7 linked regions of the Mus musculus genome follow. The protein of the gene in region 6 binds, or shares a complex with, the protein of the main gene of each other region. Links are inferred from orthologs where the notes say so. Each region holds a gene or a part of one and is shown on either strand. Other genes may lie near its edges. The genes, in order: Tcte1, Iqcd, Iqcg, Drc1, Efcab2, Gas8 and Fbxl13.

What was found.
Region 1: Gas8 (region 6) and Tcte1 share a complex: the UniProt entries of both Homo sapiens proteins name them as parts of the nexin-dynein regulatory complex. The link is inferred for Mus musculus from reciprocal best matches to the Homo sapiens genes DRC4 and DRC5.
Region 2: Gas8 (region 6) and Iqcd share a complex: the UniProt entries of both Homo sapiens proteins name them as parts of the nexin-dynein regulatory complex. The link is inferred for Mus musculus from reciprocal best matches to the Homo sapiens genes DRC4 and DRC10.
Region 3: Gas8 (region 6) and Iqcg share a complex: the UniProt entries of both Homo sapiens proteins name them as parts of the nexin-dynein regulatory complex. The link is inferred for Mus musculus from reciprocal best matches to the Homo sapiens genes DRC4 and DRC9.
Region 4: Gas8 (region 6) and Drc1 share a complex: the UniProt entries of both Homo sapiens proteins name them as parts of the nexin-dynein regulatory complex. The link is inferred for Mus musculus from reciprocal best matches to the Homo sapiens genes DRC4 and DRC1.
Region 5: Gas8 (region 6) and Efcab2 share a complex: the UniProt entries of both Homo sapiens proteins name them as parts of the nexin-dynein regulatory complex. The link is inferred for Mus musculus from reciprocal best matches to the Homo sapiens genes DRC4 and DRC8.
Region 7: Gas8 (region 6) and Fbxl13 share a complex: the UniProt entries of both Homo sapiens proteins name them as parts of the nexin-dynein regulatory complex. The link is inferred for Mus musculus from reciprocal best matches to the Homo sapiens genes DRC4 and FBXL13.

The regions. Positions count from the first base shown.
Region 1 is NC_000083.6:45,529,816-45,533,506, reverse strand, and holds part of Tcte1 (dynein regulatory complex subunit 5), read right to left. Parts: intron 507-3,691; 5' UTR 408-506; coding exon 137-407; intron 1-136. UniProt on the Homo sapiens protein: Component of the nexin-dynein regulatory complex (N-DRC) a key regulator of ciliary/flagellar motility which maintains the alignment and integrity of the distal axoneme and regulates microtubule sliding in motile axonemes.
Region 2 is NC_000071.6:120,587,795-120,592,013, reverse strand, and holds the start of Iqcd (dynein regulatory complex protein 10), read right to left. Parts: upstream 2,992-4,219; 5' UTR 2,920-2,991; intron 1-2,919. UniProt on the Homo sapiens protein: Component of the nexin-dynein regulatory complex (N-DRC), a key regulator of ciliary/flagellar motility which maintains the alignment and integrity of the distal axoneme and regulates microtubule sliding in motile axonemes.
Region 3 is NC_000082.6:33,053,292-33,057,675, forward strand, and holds the start of Iqcg (dynein regulatory complex protein 9), read right to left. Parts: upstream 2,896-4,384; 5' UTR 2,860-2,895; intron 2,752-2,859; exon of another isoform or gene 2,666-2,751; intron 404-2,665; 5' UTR 341-403; coding exon 333-340; exon of another isoform or gene 254-332; intron 1-253. Other genes in the region: Rpl35a (60S ribosomal protein L35a), read left to right, coding at 3,877-3,887, 4,099-4,251. UniProt on the Homo sapiens protein: Component of the nexin-dynein regulatory complex (N-DRC), a key regulator of ciliary/flagellar motility which maintains the alignment and integrity of the distal axoneme and regulates microtubule sliding in motile axonemes.
Region 4 is NC_000071.6:30,279,976-30,284,202, reverse strand, and holds the start of Drc1 (dynein regulatory complex protein 1), read right to left. Parts: upstream 2,811-4,227; 5' UTR 2,752-2,810; coding exon 2,597-2,751; intron 1-2,596. UniProt on the Homo sapiens protein: Component of the nexin-dynein regulatory complex (N-DRC) a key regulator of ciliary/flagellar motility which maintains the alignment and integrity of the distal axoneme and regulates microtubule sliding in motile axonemes.
Region 5 is NC_000067.6:178,478,829-178,482,017, forward strand, and holds part of Efcab2 (dynein regulatory complex protein 8), read left to right. Parts: intron 1-2,484; coding exon 2,485-2,600; 3' UTR 2,601-3,189. UniProt on the Homo sapiens protein: Component of the nexin-dynein regulatory complex (N-DRC), a key regulator of ciliary/flagellar motility which maintains the alignment and integrity of the distal axoneme and regulates microtubule sliding in motile axonemes.
Region 6 is NC_000074.6:123,517,272-123,521,641, reverse strand, and holds the start of Gas8 (dynein regulatory complex subunit 4), read right to left. Parts: upstream 2,808-4,370; 5' UTR 2,693-2,807; coding exon 2,690-2,692; intron 1,039-2,689; coding exon 952-1,038; intron 1-951. UniProt on the Homo sapiens protein: Component of the nexin-dynein regulatory complex (N-DRC), a key regulator of ciliary/flagellar motility which maintains the alignment and integrity of the distal axoneme and regulates microtubule sliding in motile axonemes.
Region 7 is NC_000071.6:21,642,784-21,647,258, forward strand, and holds the start of Fbxl13 (dynein regulatory complex subunit 6), read right to left. Parts: upstream 2,823-4,475; 5' UTR 2,754-2,822; coding exon 2,679-2,753; intron 1-2,678. Other genes in the region: Armc10 (armadillo repeat-containing protein 10), read left to right, coding at 3,320-3,452. UniProt on the Homo sapiens protein: Substrate-recognition component of the SCF (SKP1-CUL1-F-box protein)-type E3 ubiquitin ligase complex.

The sequences.
Region 1 (3,691 bases), on a different chromosome or scaffold from region 6:
GTGTGCGCGAGAGCGTGTGCGCGTGTGTACGGCAGGAAACACTACTGATCCTGAGTGGGAGTAGATTAGAGAAGGCTTCCAGGCCTGGGTACGGTGGTCCCCTTCTCCTCTGGCCCACATCACATGGACGACTTACTCTGGAAGTTCTTGACGATATGTTGAATGCAGAGTTCTGTAAGGAGAGGTACGATGGCCAGTGACCACTCTGCATCCTCGGAGATGATCCTGCGCATGCGACGGACATTTGGGACCTTGGTCTTCAGCTGGCCTGGGGTAGGGGTGCTGCTGGTCTTCAAGGACGTGGGTCCTGTGCTGGAGCTGCCCAAGGCAGAGACCTGGCGCTGGATGGTGAGAACCGACTGGCTGTGAGACGAAGAGTTGGACGGTACTGATGGGGTTTCCTGCATGTTGCCGGCCAGCGGGGAGGCAGGGGTCGGAATCCTGGCAGCCTTGCAGTAGGAAGCTTCTTACAGCAGGCAGGATACAGGATGGGGGCGGGGTCGTAGCTTGAGCAAGAGGAAGGGGACAGCGTTACTTGGGGGGGGGGGATTTAGGTGGCACAGAGTGGTGCTGAAGGATCAGTCTCTGGGGGGAGAGTAGACCTAGATGACACTCTCAGAGACTGGCTGTGTGGCTTTGGGCAAGGCACATCTCTGCATCTCAGATGCTGCCTCTGAAGTGAGGGCAGTAGCTACCAACAGGATTATTAGAGGAGTTGATAAAACAACGTATTCAAAGGGACACAGGGTGTGTGCAAGGAGAGCCCCAAAGTTTAGACAATAGCTGTTCAGTAATTATAATCATTGCTACATACCAGGTATTCGTTTTGGATAGTAACTCATCTGTCATTAAGGGGGAAAAAAGCCTTTTGGAGACAAGAGTTCATTTTCATTTTTTTTTTGAAAGGAAATGAAGTACAGAGCGGTTGCTGGCTTGCTCGGTGATGCACAGCTGACACCGAATGAGAGGGAACTTATGTTTTAAAGATTGTGTGTTTGCATGCGTACATGAGTGTGCGTGTGCACATGCGCGTGTGCAAGTGTGCATGCGCACACACAGAGGCTAGAAGAGGGTAGTTGTGAGCAGCCTGATATGGGTGCTGGGAACTGAACTCAGTCCTTCAGCAAGAACAGAATATTAAGTGCTCAAAACCTCTGAGCCATCTCTCCAGCCATCCATAGCAGTGCATTTAAACTCAATTTCTCAAGTCAGATTCTGGACTGCCCCCTCTAAGGGTGAGTGTGGGGGTATCAAATGCCAAGGGAGAGTGCTATCATGAACAACTGTTCAACTCAGAAGCTCCCAGCTCCCAGGGCATCCTGACGGCACGACTGAGATCACTGGCCAACAGAGTGGGGTACAGGCTTACACACTATCTTAATTTCTCTCCTTATCAATTTTGAGACAAGTTCTCAGGTATCCCAGGCTGGCCTCCAAGTTGCTATGACCTTCAAGTGCTGAGTCTCCTGTTTGTATCTCCTGAGCACGGGAGTTACAATTTTGTTTCATCTCAGCCAGTGAATCCGGGGTTTCATGCTCCTGTCAGCTTTTCTGGCCTCCAAGGGTACTTCATGAGCACGGGGCATCGACAACAAGCAGGGCTACACAGAGAAACCCGACTTGTAAAAACAAAACAAAAATGAGAGGACTGGAGAGAATGGCTCAGCGGTTAAGAGCGCTTACTGTTCTCCCAGAGGTCCTGAGTTCAAATCCCAGCAACCACCTGGTGGCCCACAACCATCTGTAACGGGATCTGATGCCCTCTTCTGGTGTGTCTGACAGCTGCAGTGTACTCATATAAATAAAATAAATAAATCTTAAAAAACAAATAAGCAGGAGATGGGGGGGAGGGGAGGAACAAAATACTATTTTTACTGCCAAAAACAAAACCAACTAACCAACCAAAGAAACAAAAATGGGGGAAAATCATTTTATGTATAACTCTGGCTATCCTGTCATTCACTCCATAGACCAGGCTGGCCTCGAACTCAGAGATCCTCCTGGCTCTGCCTCCTGAGCTCTGGGATCAAAGGTGTGCACCACCAGTGCCAGGAAAATAAATATAAATAAATAAATAAGGGGGGAAAAAGAGGCTTAAGTAGAGTGGGAGTATGGCTCATTGGCAGGGCTCTTTGCCTAGCTCAGTTAAAAACAAAACAAAAGGAAATATCAAACAAAAAACCCTACAGGAAAACCAAAATGAACAGAACAACAAAATCCTGAAACAGGTTCGAGGCCAGCCTGGTCTACAGAGTGAGTTCCAGGACAGCCAGGACTACACAGAGAAACCCCGGCTCAAAAAACAAAACAAAACAAAACAAAAAACCAAAAACCCTAAAACAGATGAAATTAGTTGTATACTCAATCCAGTGTGCCCAAACATTATTGTTGAAATGTGTAATCTGCATACAGATTAAAATTAAAACAGAAAACAATAAAAACCAAAGGAGTTGACACAATTAATGCACTGTACTCAGGGTACTGTCGCTCAAATGTATGATCCGTATAGTTTATCTCTATATTTTGAGTTGTCATTTAAATATACATCTGTACATACTTACACCCTGCATACGAGGGTGTGAGCACCTGTGCCGGTCCTTGGAGCCAGATCCAGCCCCCTGGAGTTGGAGTGAAATGTGAGCCGACATGGGTCCTCTTCAAACCTCTGCGTAAAGGCTTTGAGTGGGAAGAATAGGTCCGTCCCTGTCAAACCTGCACCTGTGGCCTCCATTCAGGGCGTGCGCAGTTGGGAGGGACCAGACACAGCCTCCTGACCAGAGTGCGAATGCCTCTCCTCCCTTCAGTTCCCACCTGGCTCCCACTTCGAAGTCTCCCATCATACCAGAAGGTGGCGAGCAGGCGTGGGAGGTGAGAAGGCAGCTAAATATGGGGCTGAAGACTGAGGATGCTGTCTGGGTCTGGGGGAACCTCTTTGCCCTCCTGTTGCAGGCACCCTGCCAGTGACCTGAAGGCGGAACAGCGGTGCCTGGGCCCTCTGCCCGTGGCTGGGTAGCTTCCCTTTGTGCTATACTGTGGTGTGACCAGTGAGAAGGAGCGCCCGGCTCCAGCAACGACATCCTTGGCAGAGGGAGGAACCAGATGGTACTCTAGCCTGCCAGGCAGCTCAAGGAGGAAAAGCCTTGGGAGAGGGCTACTGTCGGCAAGATATTTATGTATTGTGTCACCACTGTATGCAAATCAAATGCAAATTCACAGACCCTGTCCATCTTTACATAATGCTTTTAATCCCGGCACTTGGAAGGCAGAGGCAGGTAGATCTCTGTGAGTTTGAGGCCAGTCTGGTCTATATGGTGAGTTCAGGAGGGTATCATTTAGATAGAGGCATCAGCTGGTTTTGTATTTCTGGCTTGCTGGTGATTTTAGGCAAATTGAATAACCTATCCGAACTTCAACTTCCTCCCTTCCCTTATCTGTAAAACGGGATAATAATGTCTTCCTATGTGGCATCTGTGGAGATTCCTGTCTAGAGAGCTGAGAGATGTCTTCAAGTGAATGCTAGGTTGGTTTCTAAGCCTTGTCCCTGTCTCTACAGGAGAGGTAAAGGGCAAGGGGTCATTGGCAACTTGAAGATCTGCTGCACCGTGGTTAGAGGTTACCTGCCCCACTAGCCTGGGTGTGGCTCTGCTCCCACCTCCTAGGGCGCTTCAACCCAGCTGAGGCCAGTTGGGAA
Region 2 (4,219 bases), on a different chromosome or scaffold from region 6:
GTATAGTGGATTGTTTTGGTTGTTTCAAAAAAAAGGAAGGGCTGATAGTGACACATCTGCTTAGCATGTGTGAGGCTCTGAGTTCCATTATAGCATTAAGGCATGTACCTACACACATGTATACACATACATACACACATATAATCACATACACACATATAATCACATGGATACACATATACATGCATACACACATGCACACACACACATATACACTTTTTTTTTTTTTTTTGGTTTTTCAAGACAGGTTTCTCTGTGTAGCTCTGGCTGTCCTGGAACTCACTCTGTAGACCAGGCTGGCCTCGAACTCAGAAATCTGCCTGCCTCTGCCTTCCAAGTGCTGGGATTAAAGGCATGCGCCACCACTGCCAGGCATACATACACATATAATCACATGAATACACATATACATGCATATACACATGCACACACACACATGCATGCATAAGTGAACAAGCATGCATGCACACATACACACACATGCACATGCATCCACATGCACACAATACACAATACATGCACATCCTTATACACACATCCACATGCATATGCATACATACATATCGTGCACACACACATACACACATGAATACATATCCACAACACATACACATGCACACACGTACACACAGGAAGTAAATAAAACAGAACTTAAAATGCAGGCTAGAGAAATGGCTCTGTCAGTAAAATGCTTGAATCTGAAGCTCCTTCATACTCATGTAAGAGCCAGGTGTGACACACAGAATAAGAAAATAAACCCTTCATCTTTAAAAAATATTAGTTACCAGAGTATAAGATATCAACATAATTAATAGAGGAAGCACAGACTTCGTATTTGCCTGGTGTTTGGTGCAGTGTGAACCCGCGTTATTCTTTCAATAATTAAGCCTGCACTGAGAGTAGAAGAGGAGATGCATTTCTTTGTCCATTAAAAGGAAAAAGTTTCCTGCATTTGAGAGCATTCAGGTTAAAATATTTTCATTGGCTACAGGATCTAGCCCGTTGCTATAATAAAAGCTGAAGTTCAGAGATACTTTACCCTGATGTTCTGTTTCAAGTGTTCTTGATTTTTAATCACTTTTAATTCCAAGAACTCTCACTAGGACCTCAAAGAAAAAGTGTGTGTGCGTGCGCGTGCATGCATGCGTGCATGCATGATGTTCATGAGTGCAGGTGTCTTTTGGGCCAGTAGAGGGCGCTGGATCACCTGAAGTCGAGTTACAGGCAGTTGTGACTCATGAATGCTAGGAACTGAGGGCCCTCTACAAAAACAGTGTAATGTCTAAATGTCTAAGCTATCATTCCAGCCCTCCCATTTCAGACAGGATTTCATGCAACTCAGACTGCCGTCACTAACCATACTGTTATGGTTTATATATGCCCGGCCCAGGGAGTGGCACTTTTAGAACGCCCTGTTGGAGTAGGTGTGGCCTTGCTGGAGTGGGTGTGGCCCTGTTGGAGTGGGTGTGGCCTTGTTGTAGGTGCGTCACTGTGGGTGTGGGCTTTAAGACCTTCATCCTAAACTGGGCGTGGTGGCGCACACCTTTGATCCTAGCACTCTGGAGGCAGAGGCTGGCGGATTTCTGAGTTCGAGGCCAGCCTGGCCTATAAAGCGAGTTCCAGGACAGCCAGGGTTATACAGAGAAACCCTGTCTCGAAAAACAAGAACAAACAAACAAAAGACCTTCATCCTAGCTGCCTGGAAGTCAGTCTTCCGCTAGCAGCCTTCAGATGAAGATGTAGAATTCTCAGTTCGTCCTGCACCATGCCTGCCTGGATGCTGCCATGCTCCCACCTTGATGATAATGGACTGAACCTCTGAACCTGTGAGCCAGCCCCAAATAAATGTTGTCCTTACAAGAGTTGCCTTGGTCAAGGTGTAAAGCGAGCAGTCAAAACCTAACTAAGACACACACTAAGCACTCAATAAGCCCATGTTAAATATGTGAATTATTCGTTGTATGAGCCAAGAGAATGTCCTAGGAAATGCTTAGACAGAGGGAGTTAGGGTAGAATAAGTCGTGGCGGGGATCACTGCAATTAGCCTGGCAGTCACAGCACACACACGTTGTGAACATACCTTGTGCACTCACATACACGTAGGCACCCACAGATACATATAAAGTAAAAATAAATAAAGCTTTACGTTATTTTAAAAGAGCGTGTACGGCTTTTTGAAAGGACTAGAGTTTAGTCCCCTGCACCTATGACAGGTGGCTCACAACTGCCCACCCGTAATTAATTTTAGCTCCAGAGGATCCAAAACCCTTTGTCTGTATTCACATTCACATACCCCACCAACGCAGACATAGTGATAATAATATTAATAATGATAATAAAACTTTAACAATTAAAGGGGAAAAAACCTAATTAGACCAAGGGTGGTGGCACATGCTTTTAATCCCAGTACTCAAAGGCAAAGACTGGTGGATCTCTGTGAGTCTGAGGCTAGCCTGGTCTACAGAGTGAGTTCGAGACTACATAGTGAGACCTTGTTCCAAAATCAAAACAAACAACAAATCCTTATTTTAAGCATACACTGAAGGGGGTCACGCACCCAGCAAGCTGACCTCTGAACATAGTGCGGACAGTGGGCACCAAAACAAACCAACCCATCCAATTACTTGAACTAAGTTCACTCGATGTGAACTTCACAAATGGTATCAGTAAGAGATGAGGAGAGGGACTATGAAATGGCAGGTGGACCAGACAGGAAGCAAGACTATCAGAAGAGGATACTTGATGGTGCTTGCAGGAGGCCTAGAGGAGGACAGGATGGAGGTTGGGCAAGGGAGTGAGGACCTGGAGCTGGACGGGATGGCAAGTGGGGCGCGGACGCCTGGAGGGGAGAAATCACTGGACGGCGTGCCTACTAGGTGCACACAGCCTGCAGCCTGGGGCTTCCCCGCTGTCACTCACCAGCTCCTCAAGATGCAAGTTTCTTGGCCCACAGTTAAGCAACTCGGCGGCCCTTATGTTGCTAGGTTACGAGCCACTCTTAGAAGGCGGGACTTTGAGTTTGACTGACATTCTTTTTCACCATTTAACTTCGAATCGGGTTGCGTTGGCTCCGCCTCCTGAAAGATGGCCAATCAAAATCCCCGCCTCTCTGACGTTTCGCCAATGGAAAGACGCAGGATTCCTGTTGGTTGCGCGAGTGAGGCGGGGGTGGGGGTGGGGTGGGGAGGAAAGGGGTGTTGCTTCCTCGCCCCGCCCTCCCTTTGGGAGGAGGGCTGTGAGAACGCTGAGTGACGTGTAGTCTACCCTGTCAAATTTCATTGCGACCCCTCTGATGGCCAGTAGGCTGTGGCCTAGGGCCGTGGGCGGGGCTTTCGGGGCTGAGTGACAGGAGTCGGCGGATGCGAAGGCTGGCGCAGCTGCCGCTGTGGCAGCGGTGAGGCGGCGGTGGCGGCTGCTGAGGCTCCGCGCTGGGGATATTGGCGGCGGCAACTGCGGGCTGAGCTACGCTGTGCAGACCCAGTGCACAGTGCGGGATCCCGGGACGGCGCGTGTAAGGATCCGAGGGGTGCGCGATCTTGGCCCGAGGGCAAGGGTCAGGGGTCAGAAGGTGCAGAGAAGGGGCTGGGGCTGAGTGCTCCAGAAGCCCGAGGCGGGGCCCTGGGAGGTGGCCGGCATGCTCTCTCCTTGCGGATCCCCTTCTCTCTGCACCCCTTTTCTTTGGCCTGACTTCCTGGGGCGACCCGGATCGCGATGGGGATCGTGGGGAGCTAGAGCCCCCGAGCGACCCTTCCTCCCTGCTCACCTCCCTGCTGTGTCCTCTTGTGACCTGGCCGGGGACTCCTGCCTGGGTCAGTCTGCCTCAGGGGACAGATCGCAGGATGGCAGCTAGCTATCTGATTCCGGGACCTTCTTCCAGGGGTGACCTTACCCCAGGGGTGACTCGCTGGGTCTCCGCTAGAGAGAGAACCAAGGTCTGCCAAAGGGCTGGACCTTAGGAGCTCCGAGTCTGCTGTGTGACCTTGGACAGTTTACTTACCCTCTCTGGGCCCCGTTTCTTTCTCTTTGAAAAGTCATAGGCTCTTCAGGAGGCAAAGGCAGGAGAATGGCAACTTCAAAGCTTCAAAGCTCCATAGGGATATCCCTACCACCAAAGACAAAAAACAAGAAAGCGGTTGGTGGATTTCGCCTAAGTGGAGTGCAGTTTCTAGGAATAGTTGGTGGGGCTGCGCTGAAGTGGGCAGTGTCCCCTGCGTTCCAT
Region 3 (4,384 bases), on a different chromosome or scaffold from region 6:
GGCTTGTGGCTGGTCCCTTCTGCTCTTGCTGCCACACCTACACCTCCAAGTGTGAGCCAAGACAACACCTTTCATGTCTGCCCCAAACTGCTTCCTGTGTGACATTTTGTCCCACAGACAGGGAAAGCTTAACTGGCCCAGATCCCACACCAGAGTCACTTGCTAAACGCCCTCAAGCGCCCACCCCACAGCAGCGCTGAAATGGGAAGGTGTTTATACTTTAGGGCGTTACATTAGTTGGTTACATTGTTACCGAAAAGTAATCCACCGAATTCAACAAATGGCGTAATTGCAACAGTACAGGGACAAACAAACCGGAACTTGAAACATACTCGTCCATTCTTCCTCAGTTTCTTTCCTTGCCCTCTGGGCTAGATTTATAATTTCACAAGAATGAAGGAACCTAAAGTAGAAAAGAAACATTGATATCAGTTCCAGGGAATGCTAATTTTTTTCCCTTTACTCTCAGGCTCTTTTTGTAGGAGAGAAAACAAAACAAAACAAACAAACAAACAAAAACCCCACAGAATCCCAAGAGCTATCTATAGCTTGTCTCCTCCTGCTTAGGGAAGCAGGCTCATAAGATGCAGGCTTGTTTTTGTTGTTGTTGTTTTCCAGACAGGGTAGATGTAGGCTTACTAAGTGGCTGGCTCCATTACTGGTTCATCAAACCAGAAGTTATACTCAAGGTAGTCTTTTGCCTCTTTTTACGGTAAATTGACATCTAACACAATTTTAATGTGTGTACTTGTACTCTGAGTTTGACTGTGAATCAACAGAGAACTTTTTTTTTTTTTTTTCTTTCAAGACAGGGTTTCTCTGTATAGCCCTGGCTGTCCTGGAACTCACTTTGTAGACCAGGCTGGCCTTGAACTCAGAAACCTGCCTGCCTCTGCCTCCCAAGTGCTGCGATTAAAGGCATGTGCCACCAACGCCCAGCTTCAGATTTATTTTTGATTCTTTAATTTCTTCTATTATTCTCACTTATATATTAAATTAAATATTTCTGCCCTGCTCTATCAGAGAACAGAATTTACTGTAACTTGACTTAGAGAAATCGAGTTTGGGCTGACAAGATGGCTAAGCGGTTAAAAGCAATCAGTGCTCTTCCAGAGGGTCCTGAGTTCAAATTCCAGCAATCATATGGTAGCTCACAACCATTTGTAATGAGATCTGACACCCTCTTCTGGTGTGTCAGAAGAGGCCATCCTTGGCTCAATACAGGGAGTTTGGGGCCAGCCTAAGCTACATGAGACTTTGTCCTTCTTGTTAATGGCTTTAAAAAAAAATGTGTATGTGCCTGCTTGTCTCTATGTGCACTGTGTGCATACAGCAGATTTCCTAGCGCTGAAGTTATAGGTAATTGTGAGTCCCTGATGTAGATGCTGGGAACTGAACTGAAGACCTCTTTAAAAACAGTGTATGCCCTTAAACATTGAGACATTTCTCTAGTCCCTGTCTCAAAACAAAACAACAACAATAACAATAACAAGTTGCATGTAAAATCTAGCTCTAGAGTCTGAGGCCATCTTCCGACCTCTGAAAGCACACACATAAACAGGTTTTTAAAAAGGAAGTCTTGCTGGGCGGTGGTGGCTCACGCATTTAATCCCAGCACTCGGGAGGGAGAGGCAGGCGGATTTCTGAATTTGAGGCCAGCCTGGTCTACAGAGTGAGTTCCAGGACAGCCAGGGTTATACAGAGAAACCCTGTCTTGAAAAACCAAAAAAAAAAAAAAAAAAAAAAAAAAAAAAAAAAAAAAAAAAGGAAAAGAAAGGAAGTCTTGACCTTTTAACATACCACATGTCTAATCTGCTTGTTGTCTTGTTTTTTTTTTTTTTTTTTTTTTGCGAGGAGTGAGGGAGCAAGGATGAGATTTCTTACTCTGTAGCTCAGGATATCTGTGTACACATAATGTACCTCTTACTGACCTAAAACAGAGCAATCTTCATACTTCAACCTTCTAAGTGCAAGGATTACAGACACCAGAGCCAACATGCCATCCTTGCTCCCTCATGTAGGCTGCAAGAGGGCAGACGTTTTAGTCTGTTTACTCTGGTGCCCTACAAGCCTACAGCATTCTTGGTAGTGGTAGTCATTCAATAAATTACTCTCTGATTAAATGAATGGATCCATCAGTTCGCCTTAATTAATGCACAAGTTAGGAACTGTAAATCTGAGTCTATTAAATTTATCTGTGGGCTGGTGAGATGGCTCAGTGGGTAAGAGCACCTGACTGCTCTTCCGAAGGTTCAGAGTTCAAATCCCAGCAACCACATGGAGCCATAACGAGATCTAGCTCCCTCTTCTGGAGTGTCTGAAGACAGATATAGTGTACTTACATATAATAAATAAATGAATTTTAAAAAATTTATCTGCATCCGACAAGTCAGGGAAAGGATGGAAGGATATCTTCTATCTCTCACTTCCTCACATCGTCTCCCTTTTTTTCAGATGGGGTCTCATGTAGCTCAGGCTGACTGGCACTCCCTATGTAGCAGAGGATGGTCTTTTAAGTCCTATTCACCTGCTCGCACAGCTAGAATACTGGGGTTACAAGCAAGCACCGGGACCGCGGTTTGCCTCATGGATGTTTGTTGCTGTTAAGATGGGGCCTTGCTATGTAACTTAGCCTAGCCTCGAATTTGTGATGTGATCCTCCTACCTCAGTCTCCGGAATAAATGCTGAGGTTAACGGGCAACGGCTACCACACCCTGTTTGTTAAATTAAAGATGGGAAAAAATAAAAGAACAAATCAAGAGAAACTCCTGCCTTCATGCTCCAGGTTTTTCTCTCCTATATGGTAGGATCCCAGTCTCCATTCTAGGAAGAGGAGAAAACACTTAACTTTTCCTTACCTCTCTACCAGCCCAGCTGGAGGCGGGAACCAAACTAATCGGTAGCTATGGCAACGCGTCGCGCAAGCTCTTTTTTTTTTTTAAGTAGGACCCCTGATTCTTTCTTAGTCGACTACGATTTTGCCTTTCCTTGTTCCTAAATAATACGTGTTGCCGCTTACAAAGACGAAAGGGCAGGAGGGAAAGAATTTAAAGTTCTTGAGCGCGGCTTGGCTGAGTCGAGCCTCTCTCTCTGTCTCTGACCTTTGCTTTCTGGCGCAGTGTGAGCGGCCTAAGCGCGGAGAGGGGCGGGGCGTGCGTCCCACAAGGCCGCGCGGCGGGGCTTGCCTTCCTCTTTCCGCCATCTTGGCGCCTGTGGAGGTGAGGGGGGTTCCTGCTGCTGAGCTTTGGGGCCCGATTGCTGGGGTGCGTTTAGTTTCATCCCTCACCGAGACAACCTGGCGTCTCGGAGAACCCGACCGCCAGAGGTTTCTGGGGATTCCAGGAGGATGGAGGGCGGGATGGAGGCGATGACGGGCTGATGGTGTGGAGGCCCCGGCCGGGGGAGGAGAGCTCGCTGGTCTCGGTCGATCTCCGGCTCGGGAGGAGAGAATGGGTGCATTTCCCCCGGTCTTACTGGCCCGGGGAGCGGTGGTCCCTGGGAGCTGGGTTCCCCGCACAGAGCCGGATCTCGCCTGTGTTAGCTGCTTTCTGTACTGATGGAGGCATGAGCTCGCCTCCGGGTTCCTTTTGGGGTTTGAGAAGTTAAGTCTCGGGTGAGTCGCCTTCCCACCCGGCCTTTGCCCACGATTCCGAGTCGTTCGTTGTCATTGGTTGTCGGAGCCCTGAGTATTTTGCCAGGCTCTGCCTCTATAGGGGGCAGGGCGTAGGTAAGAGGTCCCCATCCTTGGGACGCCGACTGAAGCCATCTCTCGCGCCGGGAAATAGTGACAGGTGGGATGCGTGCTGCATGACTCTCGGTTGAGCTCTCGGTTTTGTTTTTCAGGCCTGCTGGGAACAGGACTTCTAACAGCAAGTATGTCTGGAAGGTACGCGATCTCACAATAGTCGTTTTCTCCATTTCTGTTTCGTTCTATTAAACGCGAAGCTAAAGTTCAGTGTAATGCGGGAGGGGAACGAGAGGTCTGCTGTAGATAGCTGGAGTAGGAATTGCTACAAAGCAAATCATGGTGGCTTGCTAAAAGATACATGAAAAGTTGTAACGGGGTAGTCATCATGTCTTTCTTAACGTTGTCTTAGGCTGTGGTGCAAGGCCATTTTTGCTGGCTACAAGCGAGGTCTCCGGAACCAAAGAGAGCACACGGCTCTTCTTAAAATTGAAGGCGTTTATGCCCGAGATGAAACGGAGTTCTACTTAGGCAAGAGATGTGCTTATGTGTATAAGGCAAAAAAGTAAGTATGCTCCCATGCCTTTTAATTTTTGGTTGACTAATCTCGTTTTTTCTACTGAAAAGGTAGGGGTGTTAGTGAGAAATTGGTGTGGTTGAGTCTTCCTAGACACGTGAAGAGCTTAGAGGAAATTAGA
Region 4 (4,227 bases), on a different chromosome or scaffold from region 6:
TTTTTTAAAAAATAATATTTATCTATTCATTTGTCTTGTGTGTGTGTGTGTGTGTGTGTGTGTGTGTGTGTGTATGTGTGTGTGTGTACTCAAACCATGGCACACATATAGAGGTCACACTGTCTTCTGTTCAAACAGCCAATCAGAAGCATCCATCACATTCAACTTCAAAATTTGTCCTGCGTCCATCTGCTTCTCTCTAGATTATTGACACAGAGTCCAGGCCAATCCCGTGCCTCACCAGAACCAGAGTAGTGTCTCCTTCCTGCTCGGGTCTCCTCAGTCACACCTCCAGCCCCTTTACACCAGTCCCCAAAACAGTGAGCTGAATAATTTGAAGGTGAAAGTGACGCTCTGCCCATCAGGAAAGTGGCCTTAATTTTGTTTAGACATTATCACATGCTATTATCACACCCAACAAATATCTCCCCACCCCAACCCCTACAAGACAGAATTTCTCTTTGTAGCCCTGGACATCCTGGAACTCTCTTTGTAGACTAAGCTGGCCTTGAACTCAGAGATCCTCCTGCCTCTACCTCCCAAGTGCTGGGAATAAAGGTGTGTGCCACCACGCCTGACAATGTCTTAAAGTAACCCAGCAGTGCCTCCTTACAAAGCTAGCTTTTTCTCAAGCTCCAAGCTATCCTTTCTAGCTGCCTGGCTTTAGGGCCTACTCCCAGGAGTCTCCTCTCCCCTTGCTGTCCTTGTCATAGATCATAGTTATAGGGACACTTGTCCTCTCTCTCTCATTAGAATATAAACTTCCTGCACATCACTGAATTCCCAGTCTCTTTGGGTTTTTTTTTTTTTGCTTGTTTGTTTGTTTGCTTTGCTTTTTTGTTTTTGTTTGTTTGTTTTGGTTTTTCGAGACAGGGTTTCTCTGTATAGCCCTGGCTGTCCTGGAACCCACTCTGTACACCAGGCTGGCCTCGAACTCAGAAATCTGCCTGCCTCTGCTTCCAAGTGCTAGGATTAAAGGCGTGCGCCACCACCACCTGGCCTGCTTTTTTGTTTTTGTTTTTGTTTTGTTTTTAAGGTTTATTTATTATTATATGTAAGCACACTATAGCTGTCTTCAGACACACCAAAAGAGCACATCAGATCTCATTACGGATGGTTGTGAGCCACCATGTGGTTGCTGTGATTTGAACTCAGGGCCTTCAGAAGAGCAGTCAGAGTTCTTAACCACTGAGCCATCTCTCCAGCCCCCCAGTCTCCTTGTTAAACACCACAGCAACAACCAAGACCATGATCCTCGGACAGCTTTGGAGATGGATAAATGTGGCATCACTTGGAGACAAGTAGAAGAGCAGATAAGAGTCCAGTTCATCTGTTAGCCAAACAGCAGCAACAGACAAGCTTACTAAGGATGCTTCTGCCTTGCCCAGTTCCTGAACCAACCCCAGTTCTCATCCCAGAACCTCCTAACCAAAGAGGTGGCAGGGATCCCAGGAGGAAGAACAGAGAACACAATGCAAATACATAATGTAGTGAGGCTCCTAGCCTTTCCCCAAGGGGATTGAAGGTCATCAGGGAACTGTCAGGGAAGGGGATACCCAGACAGTGTTAGGACAATTAAAAACAGATCTGAGTTACCATGACAACAAGAGATGCTAACCATGATCACAGCCTTGCCCAACTAGGATGGAGGCACACAGACCTCCATCTTGTACTTCTGCTGGGTCTGTAGACCACCAAAAGTAAAAGTGGAATGAACGACTTAGAAGTTGAACAACTGTCACATGAAGTCTGGTGACTAGTGGATGTCCCTTAAACTTTACCTAAGCTAATAAAGACACCAAAGCCTAGGGAACATGGTGGGAATGCAAGTGTGGTGGCTCCTATCACATCCCCTCTTAATTCACAGGTCTGGCACTTGCAGTACCTGGATGGATTCTAGACAATGATCATCAATGTCCGCAAGCACAAGCAAGCAGCCACCCCGCCTTTGCTACAGTAGATCCGTCGACATGGCCTTGGGCCCAGGGAGTGTGGCCACTAAGTGAAATGAAAGCTTTTACTCTTATTTTATTTTTATTTTGAGGTGTCAAGGCCTTCCTACGTAGACTAGGCTAGCCTTGATCTCAAAGAGATTTGCCTGCCTCTGCCACTCCAGTACTGAGATTAAAGGCATAAGCCACTAACCTGGCTTTATTTTATTTTATTTTTTAATTTTAAAATGGATCAAGATGCTCATATCTGTGTGGAACACACAATCACATATGCTCACTGGCTGTGATAAGGTATTCTCAGTAGAATGGGGATAACCGACTCTTTCACAGATCGCGGTCCATTACATCTCGTCAACAAACTCTAGCCTCTGGAATAAATCTGACCTAGAACTTTTTTATTTTTATTTTCAAATATTGGGACAGGGTCTCATTATGTAGCCCTAGCTGTCCCAAAACTCACTGCTTGAATGTTCTAGAAGAAAAGTTTTTCTGTTTACACCCAGGGCGCGCGCGCGCACACACACACACACACACACACACACACACACACACACACCTTACCATGGAGCTCCCACCCAGCCCGGCCCCAGCTCCCTGCAGGGCACTCTGGGCTCCCCATCGCACCACCCGGCCACCCAGCTCACCGCCTTCGGGCTTCCTGACGAGCAGCGATGCGCAGGCGCCGGGCCTGGATCCGCTCCTGCGGGTTATCCGAATGCACCGAGGGTCCGAGAATCGGGGTGGCTAAGTGTTCTTCCCCATTCTGCTCTAGGACCCCAATGGTTCCTGAGGGATTCATGGCGGCGTCTCCCACCCACTGGCAGCTCCGCCTGGACCAGCAGCCGGGTTGCTAGGAACAAGCCGTTGCCAAGGGAAAGCAGTCACCTGACCCATCTCTGGCTAGCTGTCGCGCGGCGCTCCAGCCCAGCTTCTCTGTCAGGCACTACGAGTTGTATATTTGTATCCCAAATGTGGACTTGATTCCCCTTGCCTGAAGTTGGTTTGGAGGGGCTGACTTGACCCCACGAAGGCAGATGGAACAAACCGCACCGCATCTCTTTCTGACTCAAAAGCCCAATTCATCATCCACCTTACCAAATGAATATTCCTAAAAGGCACTTTGCTCCAAAATAACTGAGTACCTGCAACATGAAAAGCATTGTATTATATAGCTAGAGACAGTGGCGTCCTTTCCTTAAGCTGAGTGGGAGACCACCTCAGCCCATTGCAGTTTTGGAAGTGTGAACTCAAGTACACTCATCATCTGTAGCCATGACCGAAAAAGAGGTGGGTTCAGGAGAATGGTTGGGGGGGGGGGGGCGGGGAAGAACCCAGGACACCACCGCTCTCTCAAAGCAGCAGTCTGCGGGGGCGGGGGGGGGGACATCATGCCTTAGGCACCGTGTGTCCCCTTGTCAACAAAATAATGTCCTGGGGCCAGAGAGAAGGCTCAGCAGTCAATGTTTATGGCCAAGGAGAGTGACCAACTGAGTTCAATCCTTTAGGCCCACACTATGGAAAAAGTACCAGTACTGATAAATTGTCCTTTGACCTTCACATGCCACAGTGGCATATGGGCACACAAAATCATAGGTGTAAAAAGTGGTTTTTTTTTTGTTGTTGTTTTTTAATGTTCTCTTTAAGAATTAAAACTATGCCTGTGGGCTTGTGGTACGGCTCAATGGTAAAGGGTTTACCTACACCAGTTGGTTCGTTGGAGCACCTTGGACAGGACACACAAAACAAAACAAAAACACCACTCCTGTAATCCCAGAACTCAGGATTGTGTTCCAGGTCATCCTGGAACACAATGAGACTCCATTTCTAAACTAAATTAAAATAAGAAATGTAAAGCCCTATACCAAAATAATAATAATAATAATACCCACCCTTATAATAATAATACACACAGACATGCAGACATAGTGGTTCACAATCAGCCCTCTGGGAGGCTGAGATAGGAAGACTGTAAAGTTCTAGGCCAAGCAGGGCTACATTTCAAGACACTATCCCTAATGCAAACCACTCGACAGTTTTATTTTTGTAGCATTGGAGACTGAACTTAGGGACTCAGACATGCTAGACATTCCTTGATGATGAAGGGGTTTTATGGCTTAGGGAAGTTGCAATGCAAGAATGAGTTTGCTGCTGGGGGTGGTGGCACACGCCTTTAATCCCAGCACTCAGGAGGCAGAGGCAGGCGGATTTCTGAGTTCGAGGCCAGCCTGGCCTACAAAGTGAGTTCCAGGACAGCCAAGGCTACAGAGAAACCCTG
Region 5 (3,189 bases), on a different chromosome or scaffold from region 6:
CCATGCATTCAAATACAAGTCTATGGGGGCCATTCCCATTCAAACAACACAGCATACATCCAGAGTTCTTGTACTTCCAGGGCAGTTGTGGCATGTCCTAATAGACAGAGCCTGCATCGGGGTTTTTTTTTTTTCCCCCGAGATCATAAATAGTTTCAGTTATTTATTCAACATTATTTAATTTTTTCCATGTTGTATGTGCCAGTACATTTGTTAGGTGCATGTAAGATGCACCATCATATCTTAATGTATCATCATTATTGTATATAGCATGGTCTTCTTCTAATTGTGCTTACCGTTGCTTAATTCAGGAAAATGGTTGATTGCTTAAGAAGTGATTTGTTTTGTTTTGTTTTGTTTTGTTTTGAGACAGGGTTTCTCTGTGTATCACTCTTTGTCTTGGAAGTCATTTTGTAGACCAGGCTGGCCTCGAACTCAGAGATCCACTTGCCTCTGCCTTCTGAATGTTGGGATTAAAGGTGTGTGCCACCAGGCCTGCCTGGCTAAGAAGTGACGTTTTTATTCTCAAAATTCTAAAAACTTTTTTAAGTACATACAAGTTTTGGGACTATAAAGTTACTTCTACAATCCTTTCATAGTATCTGCAGAGCAGTTAACACATCTTTAAGTTTGAGAATGCTCATTTTAAATGCCCAGGAGATTGTAAGGTAAACACCATAAAACATACTGAATCAAGTGCCTACAAGACAGAATCCATGTTAGTCCAGGATGTATATTGCATCAGAACGTATTTAGTAGCAGGGAAGATCTCAAGTCTTTTAAAAACAAATACATGTTGGGATGTGTCAGATGTTTGTGGAAGTGGTATTTGAATAACACATTTAATCCTTAAACCAAGCCCATGGGTGGAGAGTGTTACTATTGTCTGTACTGTGTAGACTGATAGAAAGGTTAAGCAACCTGCTCACCCTAAGCTAAGTCTAGCCTTAAGCTCACTATCTTCTTCACCCTGGGTGTTGGGACTGAAGTGGCACCCATTGTCAGCATCCCTTTGACACTTACATCCAGGTACATGTAGCAGTGGATTTAGTGTCTGTCATTTGTAGGGCAGCAGGGGTGGGGGAATAAAGGGAGCGGGAGAGAGCTAGTTCCAGTGCTCTGGGTGGGCAGACTCAGAGGACTGGGTGTCTGGTTGTGGGAAGCCACAGACCCCAGCCCGTGGGGAGTGGACAAGGGGCAGACCGAGGTCTCTGGGCTTCACAGAGGCCAGAGATAACAGGTTCTCAGTCTCGGGCATCCCAGACACCGCTGGACACTGTGGAAGAGCAGAGAACAAAGTGGAGGTCCCTGGGGTAGCTCAGTCACCCCCAGGGCTGAAGAGAGGAAAGGGCAGGGAGAGACGGGGCATTGGGTGGTTCCCATGCAGGCAAGCGTCTCTGGGAATGTGGCTCACTGTTCTGTCCCTTGTAGAGTTTTCTACTGGGTCTCCAGAGCAAGCCTTTCTCAACCAAAACAGGCGCCTTTCACGGCCCCACAGCCAGTCAGATAACAGCCAGAGTTTGCCACTTCAGCATTTCAGAGCATGAGTTTGAAGTTTGACTCTTGGACATGCCAGAACTCTGTCTCAGAACACAACAAGAAGAAAAAAACAAAATTTAAAGACAAAAGCCACACAGAGTCCCTATCTGCATAAGTTCTGTAATTGGTAGCTGAATCCTAACATAGGAAGTCCTGGAGACAGTGGGAAGTAACCTAGGCTCATAAGGAAAGCAACTCTCCTCAAGCCTTGGTGCTGTGTCTAGTGAGCACAAGACTTTCCCCAGACATCTGGTGATGGCCAGGATGCCCTGTCTTTTCCCTCAACACTGAGCATAGTTGTGTCTTAAACAGTCTGTAGCCTTTTCAATGTTCTCCTGAAGTTTGGGTCCTACCTTGTGAAGCCAGTTTCCAAGGTATCTTTCAGATGTTACCTGAGTCCAACTAAAGCCCAGATTTTCTCCCCAACTTCTGATTTCATTGCATCAACACAAGCCCAGATTGAAAGAAGGAGGACTTTCAGGATGCTTGACGAGTTTTGTCCATGGCAGGGTTAAGACAACGAGAGTGAGGCAGTCCTGATAGAGTAGTCAAGTGTCTGGTCTCTCTTCAGCAATAGCTAACTTTTAATTATTTCCCCATAGTTTTAATAAAGATAATAGTTATGCTCACTTATACAACTTTAGCTTCCAGCAAATACTTTTGCAATTTCAATCATTTTAGTTTAAGTGAATTAAACAACTATATTCATGGTGTTCTCCTGCTGCCTTGACTAAAGAGATGTATTCTGTAGGTCTCAGCAGGGCAACAAGTCTACAGCCTTGCAGATGTGTGGCAGCATGCATTTTGAACTCCTGGGTTCTCAAGTGTTGCTGTACAGCTCCAGTGAAGAAAAAACTGGACATAGTTGCAAGGCAGTATAGAGGACTAGTGGGGAGAGCAAAACCTCTGACTGTAAAATCATGCTATCCTTTCTTGTCTCTCCAGGTGAGCCTTTTTCCCAAGAGGAAATGGAAGAAATGTTGTCTGCTGCAATTGATCCCGAATCAAACACCATTAATTATAGGGACTACATAACAATGATGGTGGTAGATGAAAATTAAATGCTGCAAAGACTTCTTTTTTCTCCTTTTAAGACAACTGTAAACATTCAATTTCTAGTTGAAATGATAATTTGAAAATTTGTCCTAATTAATTTCACATTTTATTGTATAATTTCTACATTTAGTGCCTTATGACATAATTGTTTCAAGGTATTTTGTTTACTAGAGATGATCAGTTTAAAACATAAATTTATTTAGTATGACCAGATTTATGGAAGGACAAGTTAATTATTTCAAAGGAATTGTACAGTATTTTAATGTTAAATGTATCGTTGCTTATTTTCCACAACTAGGCCAATGATACATTGAAACTAATTAGAAAGTGAGATTGATCCTAACCCCCTAACATTTGCCATAGAAAGCTCTTGCAGGGCAGGATGGCCACAGACTAGATGTGAGTGGCAGCTTGGTGATGGCTGCCTTTCAGAGCAGCAGTAAACACTTCAGCAAGCAGAATATGGAGGGAGAGCGACCAGAATAACTATTAATAATTGATTTCTTATGAATGCCAATTACAAATCTCATTTGAGAGTCTAATAACTTTGAGTAAAATTGAAAATTGCTCATCCAGCATTTTGCCATTTATGGA
Region 6 (4,370 bases):
AATAAAACAGCCAGGGGCCAGCACAATGGTTCAGCAGGTAAAGGGGTCTGCTGCCAAGCCGGAAAACCTGAGTTCAATCCCAACTCCTACACAGTGGAGGAAAGAACCAACCCACACATGTTGTCCAGATGTATAAATGAAAGACAGAACACTAATTTTAAAAACTGGGGGTGTGCCGGGCGGTGGTGACGCACGCCTTTAATCCCAGCACTGGGAGGCAGAGGCAGGCAGATTTCTGAGTTTGAGGCCAGCCTGGTCTACAGAGTGAGTTCCAGGACAGCCAGGGCTACACAGAAAAACCCTGCTCGGAAAAACCAAAAAACAAAAACAAAAAAACAAAAAACAAAAAAAACGTGAGTAATTAATCAGACGAAGACAATGTAGTTTTAAGTAAATTGTGTTCCTTTTAAAACTTTCCTTTTTTCTCCTTCTTTTTTTGGTTTTTTGAAACGGTGCCTTTCTATATAGCTTTGGCTGACTCAGAACTCACTATGTAGATTAGACTGGCCTTGAAATTACTGAGATTAATCTACCTGCCTCTGCCTCCCAAGGCAGGCGCCACCACACTTGGCTAAAATCTTCCCCTTTGATATAATGTTTACTGGCAAACAAAGAATGACATATCTGTCTTAACACTTACAAATCAGCTCTGTGACCACTGGGTATATGAAAAGATAAGGATGAAATAAAATGCACAAAGTTTAAAAATACCTATCATATTCGAGGGGTGGGGGGACGCCTTCCAGGTTCCTATTACAAAGTGTCCTCACATGGATACACTGCATTTAAAAGTATGTCATGCCAGGTGAAGTGAGGAAACTACGGGCACGGGATAGACACGTTACGTTTGGACAGACTGAGAGTAGACAGACACACAGATAAGAGTTTCGCCAGCACATCTGCAGCGGTGCCTACCCCACCCTTGAGCCAGGCTCCAAGGGCTGTGCTCACCTGCTCCTTGGTCATGTCCTCTGGTGCGACGCCATCAACAATCGCGGTCCCTTTGGCTTTCCCCTTCTTCCCTTTCTTTTTGGGTGCCTTTGTGTGAAGAAGAGAGGACTGAGTTAAGTACAGGACAACTCTATCTCAGGGTGTCCCTCCTTGATGGACTGACTGCTCACATGGTCAGCTCTACCTCAGGGTGTCCCTCTTTGACTGACTCGGTTCACACAGGCATAAGGGGAAGGAATGCCTGTTTAGAATCTTGACCTTGACTGTTCACACAGTGCTGACTGGAACATTTACCTAGGGGGTATCATTATACTGATCCCTCCCCCCCATTAATATACCAGAGGTGGGGAGGGAGAGAGATCTCATTTGGAGAAGCACTAAGGGGGAAGGGAAGGAGAAAGAAAACACTTCAAACCCATTCACTCCTGGATGTAGGACAAGAATTTCTTTGTTACGGTTAAAAACATTCTTTTGGAGAGATGGCTCAGAGGTTAAGAGCACTGACTGCTCTTCCAGAGGTCCTGAGTTCAATTCCCAGCAACCACATGGTGGCTCACAACCATCTGTAATGGGGTCTGATGCCCTCTTCTGGTGTGTTGGAGGACAGCAGCAGTGTACTCACATATATAAAACAAATCTTACATTAAAAAAAAAAAAAGAAAAACTTATGGGGGGGTGGAGAAGGGGTGTTTTGGGAAAGGCAGCATTTGAGGAGGTAGTGTGGAAACCTAAAAGATAAAAAGAAAAACTTATCTGGGCTTTAAAAAGGAGGGATACACACACACACACACCCGCCCCACCCCACAAGTATACTGGCAACCACGCTTCATAGCCACCACAGAGACACAGAAGACCCTCATCAGCAAGGACCGAGAATAAGCCTTTTGGAGAGACCTCACAGCAATGACCGAATCTGAGGCTTCCTGACTCGTGTCTGCCATTATGAACCCACTTCAGGGAACTCTGGTCTTGAGCACACCGCACACACTGTGTCTGTCTGCAGATGTTCCCAGCAGACACTGCTCACAGGGCCTGCTTTATTCTAGCAGCCTTGACAAGGCCATAAATGCTTGGCGGGAAGATTAAGCAGCAGTTAATATCGGCCATAGTTCCAGGCAGGCAGACGCAGGAAGATGCCACCCCACCAGCTAATGACCCATGCCCTAGCACATCTGCCAAGACACTGCACTACTGACAGCATCTATCTCCTGGGTGGGGCGGGGCATTATGTGAGAAAAATAAAGGAGACAGGGGGCTTCGGCCTTCTTCTTCTCAGGAGCCTGAGATACCCAAGGTGTGTATCCCTGGTCACTCCATGACACTCTGCCCTTGGTAGGGAGGCCTCCGGCCACATGGTACACGCTAGGTTTTCCACCTCCGAGTTCTCGGGGTTTCTCCTGTGCCGGATTCTGCGCCCTGTGGACACTTAATTGACCCCTGAGCCCTTAAGTACTGGTCCCAAGGATCTGACGGACTCAGCTTCTGATTTCTGGACGCCTTGCACACTGGACTCTCAGTCTAGCCAGTGTGATGATCATCCCAGAGAACCTGAATGCAGGCCCCGGCCTCCTGGCCTCCCCAACCGGGACCACACGGAAGAACTGCGCCCAGCTCTCCATTCTAGTAATCCAAAATTGCAGGCCCTCCCAGTCCCGGGGACCCGACCCTCTCCACATTTCTGCACGAAAGCCTCCCAGGTTCTCTGTGCACTGGACACTCCGAGCACAGGCCGACTCACCATGGTGCCAGCAGTCCAGCACTTCCACTAATCCGGGATGGGCGCTGGTCAGAGGAGGCTGCGCGGTCTCCTGGCAACTCCGACTAGATCCCGTGCTGGTTCTCAAATCCTCGCGAGACTATCCTCCAGTTCTCCCCTCCCACCCACCCCCGCCCTAAGGGACCTGGGCAACCGGGAGTGCGTCCCTAACAACGCGCCAGAAGAGCTAGTGTTGCCCTCGGTGTATTGCTGGTCTCTCTCCCACTACAACTTGGGCTACAGAAGAAACCTATTGTGGTTCCTCGGGTTCTCCAGAGTCTACATGGCGGGCGCTCACAAGGAGGAACGGATAAAGAGAAAAGTCTGAATGATTAATCTGCCTCCCAAGCCAAGTTCCCAAATTGGATGCAAATATTGAGCTAAGAGCCCGCTCCTGCGGCCCATCCACCTTGCCCTGCTTGTGAAAATTCCTTCCACATGCTGCTCTGATGAGACTGAACGTGTAAAGCTGGGCTTCCAGAAAGAAAAACGCTAAGGGTGTTATGCCTGCGACCACTGGGGAAGCTGAGAGGAAGACTGCATGCGTTGGAAGCTAGCCTGGGCTACATACCAAAAACCCTGTCTCAAAAAAAAAAAAAAAAAAAAAAAAAAAAAAAAGAAAAAAATGCTGGAGAGATGGCTCAGCGGGTAAGAGCACTGACTGCTCTTCTGAAGGTAGAACCACCCATAATGAGACCTGACGCCCTCTTCTGATGCGTCTGAAGTCAGCTACAGTGTATTTATTTATAATAATAAATAAGCGAGTTGATTGGAGTTGCTTGGAGCAGGGCTGCACCCTGCATAACAACCACATAAAGGCTCACAACCATCTGTACAGCTGCAGTGTATGCACATACATAAAAAGAAAGAGAAACAAAACAAAAGCAAAACAACAACAAAGTGGCTTAGCAGGACAGGGTAAAACAGAAACAGAAGGGACAGCAGGTTATGCTCCTCTGCCTGCTCTGAGGATGAAGATTCCACACCCATAAGTGGATGCAGCAGGAGAGAAAGATTGCTCAGTGGTGGGGATCTGAGGCTCCTAGCAATGAGACTCCCCTGTTTGCTAACCCAACCTCCCAGTGTCCCCTCTCCCAGATTCTTGAAGAATGGCCCGCTGGAAGAACAACACCGGATCCTTGTGAGCATTCTAACAGTGGCTTATTTGTAGTAAATCTTAACAAAAGTCCAACATAGCCGCCACGCTGTTTGCTGTCAGTGAACTTTAAGGCGAGCCCCACTCGCCTGGGAAACTCAAAAGCAGCACCTAGAAGCACCTGAGCACAGTTAGGTCAGCTGTCGAATGCTGTCAGCCGAGAGCTCAGATTGTCAGCCGGAACATACACAGGTGGACTCCGGGTAGCCTGTTTTTTACGGGAGCCTTCCAAGAAAGCTGGATTTCTTTCCTAAAGACCTAGCCTTGGGAGTTGCACTGTCTCACATCTCCCACACTCTACTAGCCAGTGCAGTCACAGGCTCCAACAGCACTGCAGCTAAAAGATCCTGATGGTACGGTTCTGGAAGAAATGGTTCCAGCAGTTTTGGCTTGTTTGTTGAGGCGGAGTCCATGTAGCCAAGGCTGACCTCAAAGCCAGACCATCAGCAAGATCAGAGATGAACATGAACTGCTCCTCCTGCCTCCACCTGTGAAGCATTTGGGACA
Region 7 (4,475 bases), on a different chromosome or scaffold from region 6:
TACTTGATAGCCAACAAAAAAAAATCACTCAGTGTGTAGAGGTAATTACTGGAAGAAAAGAAACAACAGACAACAGACCCAAAAATTATCCAGATGTTGAAGGAACCTGTGTTTCTTCTTGTTTTTGTTTTATTCAGGCTTACCAAGTGTCTTGAACTCAACATGTGGCCCAGCCTGGCCTCAAAGCAAGCCTCTTGTCCTAGCTCCCCAAGAACTGGGATTATAGACATGTGTGACCAGCTTTCCAGAGAGTGATTTTTACAAAACAATCATTAACATGTTTGAAAACAGGAGATTATAGCAAAATAGATGAAAAAGTATCTTTATAATTTTAATAAGTGGAATGCATTAAAAGGAATCAATGGGCATTCCAAGACTGAAAAATACATTATCTACAATTAAGATTTCACTTATTGTATTCAACAGATGGGATGAGATGTAACAAAAAGCAGAATTAGTAAAGTTAGCAATCCACTAAATAAGTCAATGAAAAATATCCAAAATATCATCCAGAAGACAAAAAAGAGGTAGCTGGACAAAAGCTAAAACAGAGGACAAGGGTAGAATTTTATTATATTCATGATTGGATTCCTATAATAGAAAAGAATTGGGTAAAAATAACAATAGATTTAAGTAATTGGTTCCAAAACCAATGAAAATTAAATATCAATCAGCAGATTCAATAAGCTTAGTAGATCAGGCAAGTGTTGTGGTTTTGGTTTGGTTTGGTTTGGTGTTGAGGTTTTATTTTGCTTATTTTTTGGTTGTGTTTTTTATTTTTGAGTCTTACCATCCCTATGCCTGGGCTCAAGCAAGCTTCAGCCTCAGTCTCCCTGGCAAGTAAGAGTTTACAAACCATTACAAACCACTGGCATGGGTAGGCTTTGGTTTGGGTTTTTCCTTTATCAGAGTGTACACAGGTTTGTAGGGAAACAGTGTTGTGGATGGACAACTAGGTTTACTTAGAACACACAGGCAATGTTCAGAAGAGGTCAAACATGCATAGATAACTGCAACAAGTACAAAGTACAGAGAGACCTGGCAGAATAGAAGTCACCTTAATGGTCTGAGGGAAAGTGAATGAGTGTGCCCAAAACCTGTCTTGCCCCTGCTGTTAATGTGTGAGCAGAGGTGACTGAAGGGATCATCTGGATAAAATCACGGGGAAAAGCCATCCTAAAAGGAAGTGTTGTGCCCAATTGCCCTGGAGGTTGAATGGCACTCTTCTCTCTCCCTTAGAACTCCCTCATTCGCCCCATTTCAGAACTCCCGCTGTATCACCACATAACATACACCGCGTAACATAACATACAGATAAATGGGAGTCACCAGTGATTTCTCAGCTCCCTGCCCCCAGGAGTACAAAACCTGGTTTTCAATACCATACTGTCCTCCCGAGGCAGGGCAGAATGAGGGGACTGGAGGGGACTGGAGGGGACTGGAGGCGGAGGTAGAGGAGGAAACCCTGCTCCTTCAGAACTGATCTACTTTCACTGCTCAGAAAGGACTTTAAGTCTGCGGGTAAGAACCTAATGGACTTCAACTGTGCTCACTTGAGGCTGGGTGCTGTATCTCCAGACACTTCAACCAAGGATGTCGAGGCCAGTAATTAGGCTCTGCTTACATAAGGTCAAAATGACACATTATCTTGAATTCCTGGCCTCCCCACTCCCAGAACTAAATGAAGCTGTTCATAAATGCACTATATGTTAGTTACTGAGAGAAAAAGAAACTTCGGTTTTTAATCTAACTTTGTTACAGACTATACTCTTTGGGTGATGTTAATAAAAGGGGAATGTTTATCCTTCTGGGACTCTGGGGTGGTACCCAAGGAGGGTTTTCCCTTCTCCTCTGATAGGGGGAAGGGGGTAGTGGGGGAGGGGCTTGTAAGGGACTGGGAGGGGAGGAGAGGGGTGGGCTGCAATCGGGAAGTAAGTGAATAAAGAAATTAAGAAAGAAAAAGAAAAGGGGTAGTAGTTTCTTGGCAACATTTAGAAATGTAACCTTGAAAGTCACAAGAAAAAATACTGATGTCAGCATTGTGAAGACAACACTTAAGGTCGACTCTCCCTTCAGAAGCCCGCAATTGTCTGACCAGGTGTGTTCTACTCTCTCTACTGGAGCACCTTTGTTCCTGCGTTTAATGAAGCCAGCTTTGCTTCATACAAGTTGGCCCCGAAATTCATTTCTTTGTTGAAACCAAGACCTCAGGTTTTGCTTGGTGGCGATCTCTAAAAAGGTGTGTTGTGAAGCTGTGTGTAGAGGCAGGTGACTCTTCTTCCCTCCTGCTAACAACGAGGCGGGGCGAAGCCTACACCCAGAACCCCTCAAGTCTTTTGTCTTCAAGTGGCTCACCACTCACTTCTTGCTCAAGACGCTCTTCCATAATAGAATTTAGTAGTTGACACTTGGAGATTCCAACCCAGGCCCTGTGCTCTTTGCGCCCCCTGCAGATTGTCACTTTCCCCCGTCCCCTTCCTTTGTCATCCCCACCTGGGCTTGGTTTTAGCCACCGGCACCCTTCGGTCTTCTCTAACCTACCCTTCTCTCTCTAGTTACCCTAAATTGACTTCAAGCTTCCCCATCCTGCTCCTTCTTAGCTCCAGTTCCGGGAATCTCCTTGCCTCTCCCAGTTTTTCCCCGCGCCCACTGTGTGAGAGGCTATGTGGCTGCAGTACCTCACAGATTTGAGGAATGTACTTGTCCCTGAAGTAGCTCCTTAGCCTGGGGGTGGCACTGCGTAGTGAAGCCATGGTCAGAAGCAGGACTCAGAATGCGTTTCATAGGTTACTGCTGTTCACGTTGAGGAGGAGAGACGCGCCGGAGCGTTGCCTAGCAACCACAAAGGAGGTGCCAAATAGTCCAAGCCTTTCGCGAGATGAAGAAAGAACCTAGCAGGGAGGGGGCGGGGCAACTGGGGCGGGGCGGGGCGATTGCAGAGGGGCGGGGCAGAGAGGGGCGGGGCGAGTGCAGAGAGGCGGGGCAGAGCGGGGAGGGGCGGGGCAGGACAGTACAGGCCGGGGCCGGGTAAAATGAGAGGGCTGGACGGGAGAGTGAGTGTTGGGGCGGAGCTAGGGTCTGTGTTCAACGCGCCGCAGTCCCGGTCTTGGTCCAGGAAAAAGCTGCTTGCACTAGGGGCATCCCGCCTGCCTGGTGAAAGGAACCGCAGCACACAGGGTGGGAGGGCTTCCGATTTTAGCAGGGCGGCTTCCGGAAGGCGGAGCTCCAACCCCATTTCCTTTCTCTGGGCTGGTTCTGGCCCAGCTGCACCTGCGTGTGGCCCTGGCTCCTCGGCTCCCTGCAGCTCCGAGGCAGCAGCATGGGTGGCGCGCGGGACGTGGGCTGGGTGGCAGCAGGGCTGGTCCTGGGCGCCGGCGCCTGCTACTGTATCTACCGGCTGACTCGGGGACCGCGGCGAGGCGGTCGCCGACTGCGCCCTTCGCGATCCGCAGGTGAGGCGATGGGCTGCCCGGCAGGTGGACTGGTTCGGGGCTCCGGACCCACCTCAGGCCAGGCTGGGTTGGAGGTGCCCTAGACACCCGCGACTGCATGGGGAGAAAGGCTGGAGGTAGACAGACGACTCTGGAAGCCCAGGTTGCCTTGGGTGGGTCCTGAGCCGCTTCCCTGCTCCCACTTCTTTGTTTAAAATAAGAGCTGAAAACATTGCCCGAAGTGTCCTGTTACTTCCCTTCGGCTTCACAGCCAAGAGCTGAGGTTTCTCCGAGCCAAGTAGATTGCCTCTCATTTTAAAGTTTTACCTGAGCTTTTGTGTTGTTATCAAAGAGATGCCCCTTACTGTGAGAAGGTTCTCAGGGGCCTCAAGCCTGGGTTGAAACTTTGCTCGTGCTATGTGAAGAATGGATCCCTGAGATGCAATTCTGCCAGCACTTTGTGGCACCTGTCCTGGGAAGTACCTTTAAGTCATCCGTAGCGTCCCTGCAACCGGGGTGTGTGTGTTGGGAATAAGAACCACAACCAACAGGAGACACACCCTTCTAAAAGGATGGCTTAAGTCGTGAAAACTGTTGGAAAAACTATTTGAAATAAAACCTGCCAACCAATACCTGCTTGCCTCAAAGGTAGAGAAATATATTTGTTTTTAAACTGAGGTTGGTGGGAGCTAATTGCCCTTCCCTAGAACAAAAATAAGGCACCTTTAAAGGCAGGTAGAAAACACATCTTTGGGTTGTACAACTAGCATTTACTTTTCAAAATTTGCACTTACTAGAAGGGACCAGGAACAACCATGGATTTATATTCCAGCCTTCCATTTCCTCCAGGAAATGCTGTAAGAAAGGGGAGTGCACAGAACCTTCCCCTTTGGTCACAGAGGAAAGCAGTTTTTGAAAATGAGCATTTGCCCTTACAAAGCCTGATTTGTAGGGTGCTTGTTTGTGTGTGGGTTTTTTGTGGTTTTGTTTGTTTTTTCTCTCTGTCAAATATTTCTATACAAGAATACTTTGGTGGGTTTTTGT